Linked DNA regions of Arabidopsis thaliana. The protein of the gene in region 2 purifies or fractionates together with the protein of the main gene of each other region. This does not show direct contact. Each region holds a gene or a part of one and is shown on either strand. Other genes may lie near its edges.

Region 1 (6,859 bases), on a different chromosome or scaffold from region 2:
ATTTGGAATTTTTTAAACTGATCCATCACCCTTCATTTTGTATATATATATTTTAAAAGAATATAATATCAACAATTTGTTACAGATTTTACTTTTTAAAGGATAAAATCCATCGTCTCTGTTTGTTTTGAGATTTCTTTATTAAAGAAGTCCGTTTTTTTCTTAAGTTTGTTACGAAAAAGGAAAAATTAAATTTTGGATTTTCTTAAAACCTAAAACCCAAAAAGCCCAACAAAAGCTGGAAGTTTGAAACCATTCGAGCCTAGTAGCTATATGTAATATATTCATGTGTAATGAAGTAGCATGTGTCATGTGACATGGGCTGCCGAAAAGAAATTAGCTTATAACAAGGCTAGTCATTATTTAAAACGATATGATTCATTACATCTATCGTTTAAGAGAAATCAGATATATATATATATATACAAAGGCTTGATTCTTGAATGGACAAATTCAGTTTTAGCACGAGAGTTAGCGGAATAGCGTCAATCAACAAACTTAATGAATAGTTAGCAAATTCACAACAAAACATTTCCTGATGAGAGAGTACAAAATATTTCATTGCACGAACTTATTCTCGCAGATACGTCAATAGGACTGAGATGGAACAGGAGAAGTCTTTTGTTGCTTCTTAGAGGATTGTTGCTCCTTAGAGGATTGTTGCCTTGTCATACATAACATACATACTACGCAGTAGTACTTTATAAAAAAAAAACATACTACGCAGTACGCATTATTCATGCGAATAGCCAACATGTGAATACGCCAAACACCATAAGTTAAATACTCGGTATCTAAACCTTGGTGAGATCTTTCTTATAAATATAAGTCGAGACATCATTTATCAAAATCTACAAAAGGATATCACACAGAAAAAAAAAACACTTTTTAACACAAAACGTAATTAGGACATTACGCAACATCTAACGTGTCCAACCCTAATTGAGCGTCAAAAGGTTTTAGAAATTTCTAAATTATTATAGGCTATAATCTACTCCTTAGCAGTTTCAAATGTATGCACTACATTTCGTAAGGAATCACTGTCCATCTACTAGACTGCTCTCTAATTCTTCTCTTTAGTCATTGCTATCATCGTTTTGCGATGAAGATGACTTTGAAGACTCGAGCGAGGAGTGGTTTGTTGTCTTTGCCAAGAGAGCTGTGACCGCTATTGAGTCTTCCGTACATACAACAACATTTATTGAATCTTTCATTCATAACTAGATGAGTAAAAATACTTAGTTATATAATTGTATCATGCTATTGTTATTTACAACAATCGTCATTTCGACTAAATTTTTTGATTATCCCAATATTTGATATTATACATTTCTACCACCTAAATATATATTAGGTATTTGGCACATTGTCTCTAGGGAAAAGTCTAATTCGATATACCTACTTTGCTAATTAATTATCTGATAATTTAATAAACCATTAGACTTTCCATAACATGATAATTTCAACGTATAATTTGATATATAAATATTATTCAGATTTAGATCTCGTTGTCGTAACTAAAAAAATGAAAGAAAGATTTGACGTTAACGATGATAATGATTAAAGTAGGTGAGGATGCTCAAAATATCGATCTTCTAATTGGCTCAACCATCCATCATCAACTTCAAGACTTCAAGTACATGCAATTAGTAGTATTCCTTCATTTTCCACTTTTTGCGCAAATATAATACTACTAATTTTTCAATCTACCTTTGTGTCGGCGTTTAATAACCAAGTTGGCAACTTGCAACATTTAACCAAGCTGGCACAACTTGCACCAACATCATCATCACCTTTGCCTTAATTAGAAGATCTTCGTCTTAAGTTTGCAAATAGGAAATTAAAAATAGTACTATACAAAATATAAAAGTGGCCTTTCGCTATTGTCTCGATCCAGCTGAAATTCGATAATAAAATATACAAATTGTTATAGTATCATATAATGGATTCCCCACATCAAATTTTGTAACAATAAATTATATAAAACATGATGGTGATATATTCAAGTCAAGTGGGACACTAGCCTGACTATAGTGCAAAAGGTAACCCGAATCTGAATGAAAAACGGCACACACTTTTAAAACCATCTTCGTTAAAACTTAAAACACTTCCACTTATGGTTTTTTTAGTCTTCTCTATCTCTTCCTTCACAATTTGTTTTATCGTTTTACCACTCTTAAAAAAGTTGTTGTTTGGTTAATAAATCGGGAGTTCATGTGTTACAAAGTTTTTTTTTTTTTTGGCAACCGATATGTTACAAAGTTTGTTCATGGGAAAAAAAACTAAAGTTTTGTTCATGGACATTATGTAAAAGTAATCGATAAAAAAGCGAAATCTATGAAAAGTAATTACAATTTCATACGAATCACACACTAAATCTACCATACTTAAAGCAATAACAGCAAAAAACACGTGAAAAAAATCTTATCCCCATGTTTTTTTAACAAAAGGAAAAGAAAAGGAAAACCTTTCTTTTTTTTTACATTCAAAGAAAAGTAAAACCTTACACGAATGGTTATTTACTTTTTTTTTTTTTGTGTCAAATAAACCTTTGGTAACTTTATAGTAAGTTTTTTTGTAACTTTTTATGAGAGTTTGTTGCATAGCCGAAAATTTTGACTTACTCGCCGGAATATACCTAACGAAAATGGAAAGATTCATAGTTATCCACAAACATAAAATGCCCAAAATAACCTTGCACGTCATTCTCATCATAAGAAAATGGTAAAAATATGACTATATGAGGTTAAAAAAGCAAAAACAGACAAAAGAAGAAGAGAATCTTATACGAAGCAACATAAATAACATTTCTGGATTTTGTTTTTAATAAAAGAAATTAAATCATATTTTTTTCTTCATTTTCACGTCACCTGAGAACCACTTCCGTCACCGGAGTTACGAGCCATAGCTTCAGCAACCGTCGCGAGTTTCTGCAAATTAAGCTTCACAACCGTATCAGCAAACATACGAGTATCATCCTCCGAGTTACCTTCCGGCATATCAACGACGTAAGATTCCAAAACCACCGTCCAGATCCGATTCTCTTTCTCGAACCGATGCACCGTCGTAACGGATTTGTAATTCGTCAGCCTATGTTCGCCTCCGATGATACTGAATCCGGTAACTCTCCGTTCGTCGTCGAGTATATCGAGTCTTTCCGTTGATGTGTTCGCCGGTAATCCACTGATGACGATCACGTCGCGCGTGCATCCGACGCGCATCTCGAAGTTTTGTTCGACGGAGCAGGATTTGATGAAGTGTTTGTATGTTTGTGGTTTGTCGAATCGTCGTACGATTGACCAGACGAGTTCCGGAGGCGCGTGGATTCGTTGCGCGTGGAGTGATGAACAGCTTCCTGGATCGAGTTGGTATGTGTGGAACTCGGCGATTGAGTTTTTTAGTTCCGATCGTTCTTCTGGTGTTAACTCCGAAGGCATGGTTGTAATTTGGATCTTTTTTTTTTTTTTGTGAAGTTTTTTTTGTTTTGTTTTATTTATCCAATTGGTTTGAGATTCACCATTGAAGACGACGACGAGCTTTTAGACTCTCTCTCTCTTTATTTAGCGTTGAAATCTCTCTGTGTTGGATTTTAGAGGGAAGATGAAGGGTAAACATGGAATTATATTAAATAGTAAGGGTAAAGTAAGAAATATATATACGTGAGAGTGGAAGGGTGTATAATGCAAAAAATGGAATCTGTTTATATTTAAAGAAAGATGACCTGGAGTTTCTGTTATAAACTATTGGATTTGTTACTTATTCAAGAGAATAAGTCTTATTTTCGTATAAGTTTCTTTTTTTTTAAAGAGTGTGGTGATTTTATTTTATTGTTTAAGAACTCATATTCGTAGGTTTTATTTGGTGAAAAAAATGAAATCTTAGAGATGAAAATTGTTTGTAGTTTTTTATTTTGTCATTTGAAATTATCAAAAACAATTTCATATTTTTATAAGTTTTGTTTATATGTTTCTTTAGTCGTTGAAAACAAATATACTCACGTTTCATTAATTCTTTTAGATATCATTTTGGTTGGGTATTATATTTAGTGACAAATCTAATGAATCTTTGACAAATCTACAATTTGCAACAATAAAATTATTTTTCTTTAACAATAAAATAAAAAGATTTTTTTATAACTAAAAATAAATATATATGCAAAGGAGTTGTGATTATTAAAAAAATAAATTAAGTGTCGTTAGCTCAATTGGTAAAGATTTTAGGCGAACCTTAGAGGTCGCCAGTTCGAGTGACGCTTGAGACGAAACTAATATTACATTATGTGGTTTCGGGTCTAGAGGGATTACGGACTTCGGTCCAGAACCTCCTGTTATTCAAAAATAAAATTAAAAAAATAAAAAAGAGAAATATATTATATTTAATAAACATTAAATAAATAACATTTTAAGAGGAGTTTTTAAAAAGATGATATAAAGATCAACTTTTTTGGACTTGATTCACACTTGTTCTTAAAAAAAAGTTGTAGGGAGAAAATTTTGGGAGAGAAACGGTGGAAGAGGACATCCGAGAGAGACCTTATTATACAGTACAAGATTTACTAGGAACAAACAAGTGGAGAGGAATCTTTTAGCAAGGTGGTAGGGAAGAGACTTCAAAGAGAAAACTCGCAGAGAAAATGCTCCGAGAACAGATTGATAAGAAAAAGGCATGAACAAGTTTGACAAGGAAGAGCCCTTCATAAGGATGCCATTTTAATTTTGAAGTTAAAAGTAGTAAAATTATTTTTAATATATTTATTACGCAAACACCTTGTTATTGAGTTTATAAGCACTTGTTGATTACTGAAAGAATCAAAGAATTGGTAACAAATTTACATGATATATACATTATGTAGGGAAGACAAGAAAGATTTCGAGTTTGAACTCAACAAATGGGTGGGGGCTGGAGCGCAAGCTGTGTTTAGTAAAAGTAGAGAATGATTAGTTTAGTCAAGCTTGCGTTTGGCTTAATCATAAAGAAAAGAATGTGACTAACTAACGATATCCAATCCACTTGGTCTATAAGTATATGTATACTAACAATTTTGTCGGAAATTGAGCTTAAACATTGTGTGAGACTTGTTGCGGGTATGGTGGGTCGTCGGAAAGGGAGCGGAGATGTGAACCGAATACTTCCGTCGATGGTTCCGGTTCAGTGCCACTGCCGCAACGCCGTAGGTCATGTATTTGCTGGTATTATTGCTTCGAATCATTGCTAGTGGTCTTCAACAAGATCTGATCCTCCCATTTGGTGAAGGCTTCATTTTTTGTTTTTATCTCCTTTTTGGAATTGTTTGCCATGTGTAGGAGCCCAATGCTTTGCCCATTTCTTGGGAGACCCATTGATGAATTTTAATTAAAAAAATTCTATGCTGTTTCATGTTATAAAAATATATTAGTATGCAGTTTTATTTTTTATTAACAAAAAAAATAAAAGGTAAAATATTAATATTAAAATGTAATAGTATCTCCATTAGTATCTAAATCAATGCGTATATACTAAATACTAATACATTTAAACTAAAATGTTAAAAATAACGTTTGGAAAACATGTATAATAACTATATATATTACGTTTTATTTTGATTTGTGTGAGTCATGCATTTTTTGGAGATAGGATATTAAATTGCAACAATTAGCGATTATTATAAGCTATAGAAGCTAAGTACGAAATATCATTGCAAATTAGGAACAAAATCATCAGAAACTTGACTTTCTGTTGGCAATCATGTCTCTTTTGGTATAATCACTTTAATATAATTCAGTGACGCTGACTTAAGACCAGATAACGTTAAGAGTTTGGATTTCTTTAGTAATTTGTCAAGATTATATATACAATATACTACACTATGTTAGTTTTGGAAAGCAGATTAAGATCGATCAAAACAATAATCTATGGCTTCGTACTGTTTATTATACATCTTCATATATCTTTGTTCTTATCACATTGCTCAAACAGTTCAGGTAGCAAAAGAAACAAAATTTCGATATTCAGTTAATACATTATTTGCATGTAATTTGACTCATATATCTAATGTTTATCGCAGAAAGAAATAGAATACGAATGTGTGGATATCTATAAGCAACCTGCATTTCAACATCCATTGATGAAAGATCACCAAATCCAGGTATGTGGGTTCATGATCATTAGAAAGATGAGTTTATCTATACACAATTTCATATCAAAATTATTTATCAAGTGCTTATTTGTCTCTATCCTAGATGAGACCAAGTGTCGATTTTCAAACCACGGTATCGACGGAGCCGGAAACATCAGATTTATTCACTGGTAAAGCAGAAGAAAGGTGTCCTAAAGGACAAGTACCAATTCACATACCGCAAATTAACTATACTAATGACTTTGTCCAACCGAATAGAATAATTACAGAAGCCAATCTACATGTAAGTATTTTAACCACGATGTTAAACTACAGTATTTTAAAAATAGTTATAGAATTTGTTTTTGCGACTTTTTATATATAATTTACTAACATGATAAATTATTTTTGGTTAGTATGCAATTATTAGACCATTTGAGAATTACACAAAGATATGGGGTGGAGCGCAAGCGGTTTTCAATATTTACAAACCACGAGTATTGAGAAATCAATTTAGTAAAGCTTGGATTTGGCTAAATCACAGAGAAAAAGATGTAATAAGCAGCATCCAATTTGGTTGGGCAGTAAGTATACTACAAAACCTAGCTGTCCATAAGAATCATCATATGCCGAATTAAGAACTTATCGCACAATTGATCTTCTTTTAGGTGCATATAGGATTGTACCGAGATGATCGCCCAAGGTTAACAACATACTGGATAGTAAGTGATCTTTACTTTATATTTCAATTCAAATGTCAAGCTT
Region 2 (7,432 bases):
GGAAATGTAATTCAGATAAGGTTTCAGATCTGAGAGCGAAAAGAGTGTGAGAGTGTGATGTTGCCTGCGCGCCCTTTTTTATAGGTGGAAAACGGTGGCGTTACCTTCGACTTCGGCCTTTTTTACAGACTGTAAAATCAAATCAGTCGGTAATTAAACAAATATCTCCATTTTTTTTGTTTTGGTCAAAACCGGTAATAATAATAAGCGTATTTTAGTTAATGTTGTGCTGTCACTCATTTTAAGTTATGGTTTATATATATTTTTAACTACATTTGCAATTGCATTTATATGCAATATATATGTTGACAGATTTTATTCTACAAATAAATCGTTGTTTTGGTAAAAAAATGTTGACTACTTTGGGGAGTTGGTGGAAGAGGAATCTCTAGATCGCTCATTGGGGAACGAGATTTGGGTCCCTTGGGATCTATCAAACTTTATACATAATTTAGAATATATCTCAATACTATCATACTACAGTCGAATCTTTTACTTTATTAAATAGAGAAAAATATCACATACTAGTACTACACTTCACTCTTGTCACGGTCGTTTGACACATTATTGTAAAGTCGCCGTGCCACTCATAGTAAAGGACAATTATGGCTCACGTGTTTTGTCGTTATAAAACCATGGTGCTTCACTCATTAGTGTACATCTGGATTCTCTTCACCTACCATCCCTTTTGTGGCTTCTGGCTTTTTCCCTTCGATATTTTATTCTTTCTTCATCATTATTCTTTATGACCTTAATTAGCGCTAATGTACAAGTAAATCTTGTTCACAAAAATTACATAAGTTGTGCTTCAGTAACGTACACATAAAACCTCCAATGTCAATGGTTTAAAAAAGGCCTATCGATGTCGATGGTAAATGGTAATATGCTGGTCTTTTTTTCACTTTTTACCTATAAACATTAGTACATCACATGTGTTAAAACAATCTACCATTCATAAGTATATGGAACGATAATTAAATAAATAAAATATCTGTATTAGTTGTTCGTGTAAATGCCTTATTTAAGGCATAGCTAGCCCAAATATACATACACATCAACAATACACCACATTTACATATCCACCACCACGACTCGACTTGGACTCGATCACCATATGGGAACAAAACTTCCCTCAACGTTCTTAATCCTTATATTTCCATGGATTAATACGTGTTTCTAGTTCACTATATCCTTCAAGATTGAAATTACTTGTTTTTTTCCATGCTGTTACTTGGTTTAGTTCAATTTGAAAGAAAACAACTCAAAGTAACGGTAAATAAGAAAAGAAAAAAGATTCATAGACCCTTGGAGCCAGGGAGGTCAATCCATTGAAGCTGAGCCTCGACCTCTCCGCATTCCACATGTCGCAATCTGAGAACGAGATCCTGGACGAGCTTGCCGTCGACCCAGGTGACACGTGACTCCTCGGCTAGACAGTTACGACGACTTGGCTTAACCGTGGTCACAATGGTTCCACTAGGAAGTCCATCGAGTTGCATCCTCAAAGCCTCAATATAGGGCTTTATCTCGAACTCAGCATCGCCCATCTTGTCGTCTTTGCTAAACATGTCGTGATCATACACCGTCTACATATAACATTATAGTTTTATCAATATAAACATCTTATGATAAGGAAATTAATGTATGTTTTAGTAAGTAAAAAGTACCAAGAGGACGGTAAGATTGGAGTCTGTGACGGAGAGAGTCAAATCTTCATTCCATTCTGGATTAACATCTTTGTTAATGACACGAGTCTTCAATTTCTGTAAGATTTAATATGATAATTTGAGAATGTTTTTGATGTAATGAAATTGCATGTGAAGTTGTAAAATGATGAATGGATTAACCTGTTTGCCCATCTTGACGACGACGTAAGGATCGCTGCTACTGATGTCACGGACGGCTAAATTGACGCCACGTTTGATACGGATTCTAAGGAGGCCCAAGAGATCGTCCATTAGTGAGCTTGTCCTCGCCGGACACGCCGTTGTCATTTCCTTTATTAATGTTCCTGATTATTTCTTCCTTACTCACTTTCTACAACCCTTTTTTTTTGTTAACGCTGCAACCAACACACGTTTAATTCTCGGGGAAAAGCACAACCGAGATAAAGAAAAAAGGTTAAACGAACCAACTCACCCGTGAAGATAATTCAAAGGTCTCTTTAGTTTCTTTCGTCAGATTTCGTTCCGTTCAAACTATCATCGCTAAATATTAGGGCAGGTCTCTTTGGTTTCTACTCCTCTTTTTTTCTGTTTATTTTTTTTGAGTCGTGGGGAGGAGATAACGTGCGAGAAAAGAAAATGATAAAGACAAGATAGTTAAAGACATGACCTTATTTTTGACGCTACGCTGACTAGAAGTCGACCGGGAATGCCGGTATCCGGTGTTTAAGATTAACATTACTTTTTGATATCCAATTTTAGAGAACGTTTAAAATAAACATCGGATATTATAATTTTCCATTCTCGGCGGACTTGCAAAAGGTATCTCTAGATAAAATGCCTAAATATCAGACGCAAAAGACAAGTGTTGACAAAATTGGCCTATACTCTTGGACAAATTCTAAGGAACAAACGTTTTCTCAATGATCGGTGAGGTACGGACAAAAGAAGCTCACTGGAATTTTCTCAGTCTCTCTGCTGAGAGAGACGCTCGTTTGTTGTTTGGTTCCAGCACAAGTGCGTATCTGAAATCTGCAGAGTTTATGTTATATTCTGCCAGATTCTACAAGGCGAAAAAACAATCAGATTATGTTCTTTAAAGCTTACCTTCTATGGCTCCCTTGCAATCGCCTAACATTTCTCTTGCGGTTCCTCTTCGTAAATAGGCTTTAACATTCTGAAAGAAATCAAAAACGATCTTTGTGTTGTGTGTTCTTACAAAGTAAAGAGTGTTTTTTTTTCAAGAGAAACCTGTTTCTGTGTTTTAATGAAAGTTACCTTCTTGTCGAGGGTGATGGCTTTGGTACAGTCTTCTTCGGCTTGAAGAAAGCTGTATGTAAATGATTTGTCAAGGCAATGCCACATAGAAAGATTTGCTCACTAAAAAGTATTTTTAAGGATCTGAGAAACATTTACCCTCCAAGTTCAAGATATGCAGCAGCTCTGTTACTGTAATAGGTAGCATTGTTGTCACTTAGCTTTATAGCTTCTGAGTATAGACCAATAGCTTTCTGCCATAGTTTCTCTTTGAACGCTTGGTTACCCTGGTTTACATAATCACGGGACACAAAGATATAATAACCACATTAGATTATGGATGATAATGCCATTAAGAAAATGAGACATGCAATGGATATTAATTGACCTTCTCTTTGGCAATCTCGGCTGACTCTTCTTTGGTGATAGCCTTTTTAGAAGATTTGGGATCGGTAACAATACTCGAGTACTCTTGCAAAGATGGATACATTGTCTGCACTGTATCTAGTAAAAAGCGGTCACCACCGTGTCTTCCTATGAAAGAAACTGAAATAGGGCATTTCTCATGATGTCCGAGTGGCACAGTCACCTGAATCATCAGCACGATAAATGTAAGACACATATACTGTGGATTGGTTTTGCTAACACTGACTGGTCAGTGGTTGCTTTTAACATGTGTGAGGGGAACTTTACTAGCATGGCAGGTGAGAGAGAGAAAGAGAGAGATTTAACCTGACAACATCCTGATATGCTAGCAATGCTAAGCAGACTTGAAGCTCGGTTTTGATAGTCTTCAGATGTTATCTCCTTGCTACCAAGTTTTGGAGGAACAGCTGGCAATGTTGGAATTACCAGAATGCCATCATCCTTGATACATAACGTTACAGAGTTGGGAACCATTAGAGATTAGTCAAGAGACATATAAACTAACTCGCTCAAGTTGTGGACATGTCATGGAAGAGCAGGAATACCTTGAGAAGTGAACCAATAGCCACTCGAGTCTCGTTTCTGATAGCATTCAGGTTCTCAGTCTCTTCATTGGTTAGTTCTGGGTTCTCACACACTTGTGATAAAATCACAGGATCAATGGCTGGCTTCACTGTGTTGATCCAATCCCCATGATTTTGAAGGAACTCGTGCCTACAATGCCAATATTGTTATAGAGTGTTCAAAACTAAGATATTTTCATCCTCTGTAGGTGAATAAACAATAGGCACACCTTTGAAGGAGCTGCATCACATTCGCCAGTAGTCTCGATGTTGAGACCTTCGTGTTAGCAATGGCTTTTGTCCTAGCGAACTCTTTCAAGCTAGGAACTTTAGTTTCAAAATAGGTCTCCAAGTTCTGATGCTTTAGCAATTGTCCTAAATATAAAACAAGATAATGCTATTATAATCAGAATTTCTAACAGAGACTGGAGGATCTTCAGGGAGAGTAAAGGGCATACTTCCAAAAAGCTTTTCAGCTGATTTGGTCACCACCTGGGTAATCCGATCCACAGGGATCTTTAACAGCTGAAAACAGTCATCAGCTAGTATGATTTGCCTTGGATTCCGTTGAGTGGCAAATGGAAGTTGCAAGAGTACATGGCCAACACGACGTAGGGTGTTTGGATCGCGGGCAAACCATCCTGAAGCCAAAATCTATTGATCAGAATCAACGTAATGCTCATTTAATGGTCCTAAATATAAATTAGTCATACGAACAAAGGCATCTAAATCTTGCAATGTGATTATACAACAATTGAAACCTAGCCTATATAAGATCCAAATCATTCCACCACAAACAGTATAATTCAAAGATTTATATATCCATACCAACAGAGTCAAGACTTGAAGATACTGGTATGATTCCGGTGTTTGAAATAGCCCCATAAGAAGATTTGAATCCAAGAACGCCACAGTATCCAGCAGGCACTCTTACCCCGCCAACTGTGTCGATGCCTGCAAAGATGCAAGTAATCAAAACTATACTCTGAAAACAATTGAAACCGAACCAACCAGTAGACAGTTGAAATTTTAGATACTGATAGGAGGAGCCAATGACAGACTACCATATAAATTATAAATCCGCATGGAACTATCTTACCATATAGCCATAAGAGTCTAAATCAAGCAATTCTATTAGATGCCAAATAAGTTTCTGCAATATAAATAAATTATCAATCGTTTCAGAAATTTTCTAAGGAAGATTATTGACCATGTTTTGAAAGTTTATGCAATGTTTTGTTTCTCAAAGATACGGTTATCTCATACCAAATTGTCCAAACAAGGAAAAAAGTAGCTACTGAACTCACCTAGAGCAAAATCCACAGCATTTGTTGCTACGGCTACAGCAGCTCCACTGCAAGCGCCACCAGGAATACGAGTAGGAGCTGCAGGATTTGTAGGTGAATCGTAATGCTTGTTTTCTCCACTAATACTGAAGAAAATGAAAACAGCCAAACAAAGGAATTAATATACTAACATCCTGATAAAATAAAAATTTCAACACTGGAATCACAATCTGAATCCTGATACAGGTAACAATTTAACATTATGAAACAGAGACAAACCTAAACGCAAACTCATCAACTACAGTTTTTCCAACACAAGTGGCTCCACCTTCAACGAGAGTTGAAACCACAGGAGATGTTGACGAAGCAGCTTCATGGGTCCTGACCCAGTCTGGATGACCAAATCCAGTCACATACCCTGTAATATCGAATCTGGAAAACAAATGAAAAGGAAAGAAAGAGTAAATTAGCTTTTCAAGAACTTCAAAAGTCAAAAGATCATAGAAGAGAATGAGAGATATACACAGATTAGATAAATAGTCAATCAACATGTTGAGACAGTTATAAGTAGGACTCCATGAATAAGTCGAGGTCAAACTTGGTGACGAATCTAAAACATACAAACACCTAGCAACAGAGATCAAACAGTAGAGCCTTCCAATGAACAGATTCAACAAGTATCGATTTGAAATGAGTTTGACAAAACTAGCAGACACACACACACACACACACACATTTGAATCTACAACAAACACAATTTTCAGTGAAACGGCTCAAAATCAATCAACCATACTTTCGAAAGCTCAGAATCAGACATGTAGTGCGCCGGAGAAGATTACGAGTCGAGTCAACGCAGATTCCAACATTTGTCAAACAAAATTTTGACTCTACCCAAGGAAAAAATCATTCAGCTAAACCCCCAAATATAGATATGATAAACATATGGGAGAAGAAAGGGGGAAACAAGTCAACGGAGACTCACACGTCGGAAACGGCAAAGGTTAGACCGGTGAGAGGATGAGGAGCTTTGGGAGGAGCAGGTTGCGGAGGGGGAAGAAGCATGAGTTTATCGATAAAAGCGCCGAAATCTTCACGGACGGTCTTCTTCAGCTTTTTGGTAAGCATAAGAATCCCAGCGAGACCTAAACCTAGAAGAACCCAGAGATTCGCAGCTTGAGACGCCATCGGTGACGTTTTTGTTCTAGCTGCTGCTGCTGCTGCTTAAGATAAGAGAGATAGACCCTAAGGAGAAGGACGCCAAAGAGTTTTTGTTTAGTGTGTTGCGTTCCCTTTGAGTTTTTATTCTTTTTCCTTCTTCCTTTTTTTAACATCACTCGAGGGTTTATTTTATTTTCGTTTTGTCAACAGTTTTTTATTCACGTTGTAAAACAAAAAATTAATTTTATTAATTGTTTCTTGTTTTTACAGTTTATTTTATTAATTCAATTGGTATAAAATATGGATACACATAACAAACATTTTGCCGTATTTTCGGTTTCTTGTGTGTGTCCACTTGTTCGATAATTTTGCTTCGTCGTTAGGAATCTTCTCCTCTTATGTTATGAGGATGATTTGTGGTTAATTGTTTTACTTTCAGAAATACTAGTGGAAAATTAACCACGAATGTGGCACACTCCTGGCCAGAATCATATTGTGTTTGCCTCAAAATCTGATTTGGTCAAATTATTGTCCAAAGACTGACTAGTATAAAGACGTATTGATGAAATAATTTGAAGCAAAAACTCAATATGATAGAACAACGTTTAGCATTTTAAATAAAAACTCTAATCAAGTGAACAACTCCATTTTACACCAAAAGCTGTGCATGTGTGCCATTCTATATGCTTATCTTTTACTATTGCCATTGTAATTAATCTCCTTCATAATTCTCCTTATCAATCATTATTATTTCTCAAATAATTACTTTGACAATGACTACATTCAACATGTTATATTTTCCACAAACAATGATTCCGATTCGACGAACAAAATACAAAAATTTAAGTCTAAATACAAATAAAAGACACACACATGAACCGACGTATTCATCCTCCACCACCGCTGCATATACCGGTTAAAGATACCGGAAATCTACAAAGGGACGTGGCTACCGGCGTTCCTTCTCCGGTAACCACTTCAGCTGAAGCCGGAGGAAGAACCCTTCCGTCAGCGAACAATGCCCGCTCCCCCATCACCGGCTGCTGATCTTGGTACCGTGCCACCACCGCATCCTCTA

What was found. Proteins that work in one complex are often made in the same cells at the same time.
Region 1: the proteins of C2 (region 2) and PYR1 purify together in Arabidopsis thaliana (affinity purification with western blotting, with the first as the bait; one study listed by BioGRID). This does not show direct contact.

The regions. Positions count from the first base shown.
Region 1 is NC_003075.7:9,925,370-9,932,228, reverse strand, and holds PYR1 (Polyketide cyclase/dehydrase and lipid transport superfamily protein), read right to left. Parts: upstream 3,643-6,859; 5' UTR 3,438-3,642; coding exon 2,862-3,437; 3' UTR 2,354-2,861; downstream 1-2,353. Other genes in the region: AT4G17860 (carboxyl-terminal proteinase-like protein, putative (DUF239)), read left to right, coding at 5,892-5,960, 6,044-6,124, 6,219-6,398, 6,511-6,678, 6,763-6,816. UniProt on the Arabidopsis thaliana protein: Receptor for abscisic acid (ABA) required for ABA-mediated responses such as stomatal closure and germination inhibition. Inhibits the activity of group-A protein phosphatases type 2C (PP2Cs) when activated by ABA. Can be activated by both (-)-ABA and (+)-ABA.
Region 2 is NC_003074.8:6,146,979-6,154,410, reverse strand, and holds C2 (Calcium-dependent lipid-binding (CaLB domain) family protein), read right to left. Parts: upstream 2,350-7,432; 5' UTR 2,140-2,349; intron 2,063-2,139; 5' UTR 1,995-2,062; coding exon 1,848-1,994; intron 1,764-1,847; coding exon 1,668-1,763; intron 1,587-1,667; coding exon 1,296-1,586; 3' UTR 597-1,295; downstream 1-596. Other genes in the region: TOC64-III (translocon at the outer membrane of chloroplasts 64-III), read right to left, coding at 2,617-2,696, 2,772-2,841, 2,943-2,994, 3,081-3,208, 3,310-3,510, 3,654-3,788, 3,893-4,061, 4,141-4,285 and 5 more; AT3G17950 (uncharacterized protein), read right to left, coding at 7,242-7,432. UniProt on the Arabidopsis thaliana protein: Mediates the transient calcium-dependent interaction of PYR/PYL/RCAR abscisic acid (ABA) receptors with the plasma membrane and thus regulates ABA sensitivity. Stimulates the GTPase/ATPase activities of YchF1, and regulates its subcellular localization.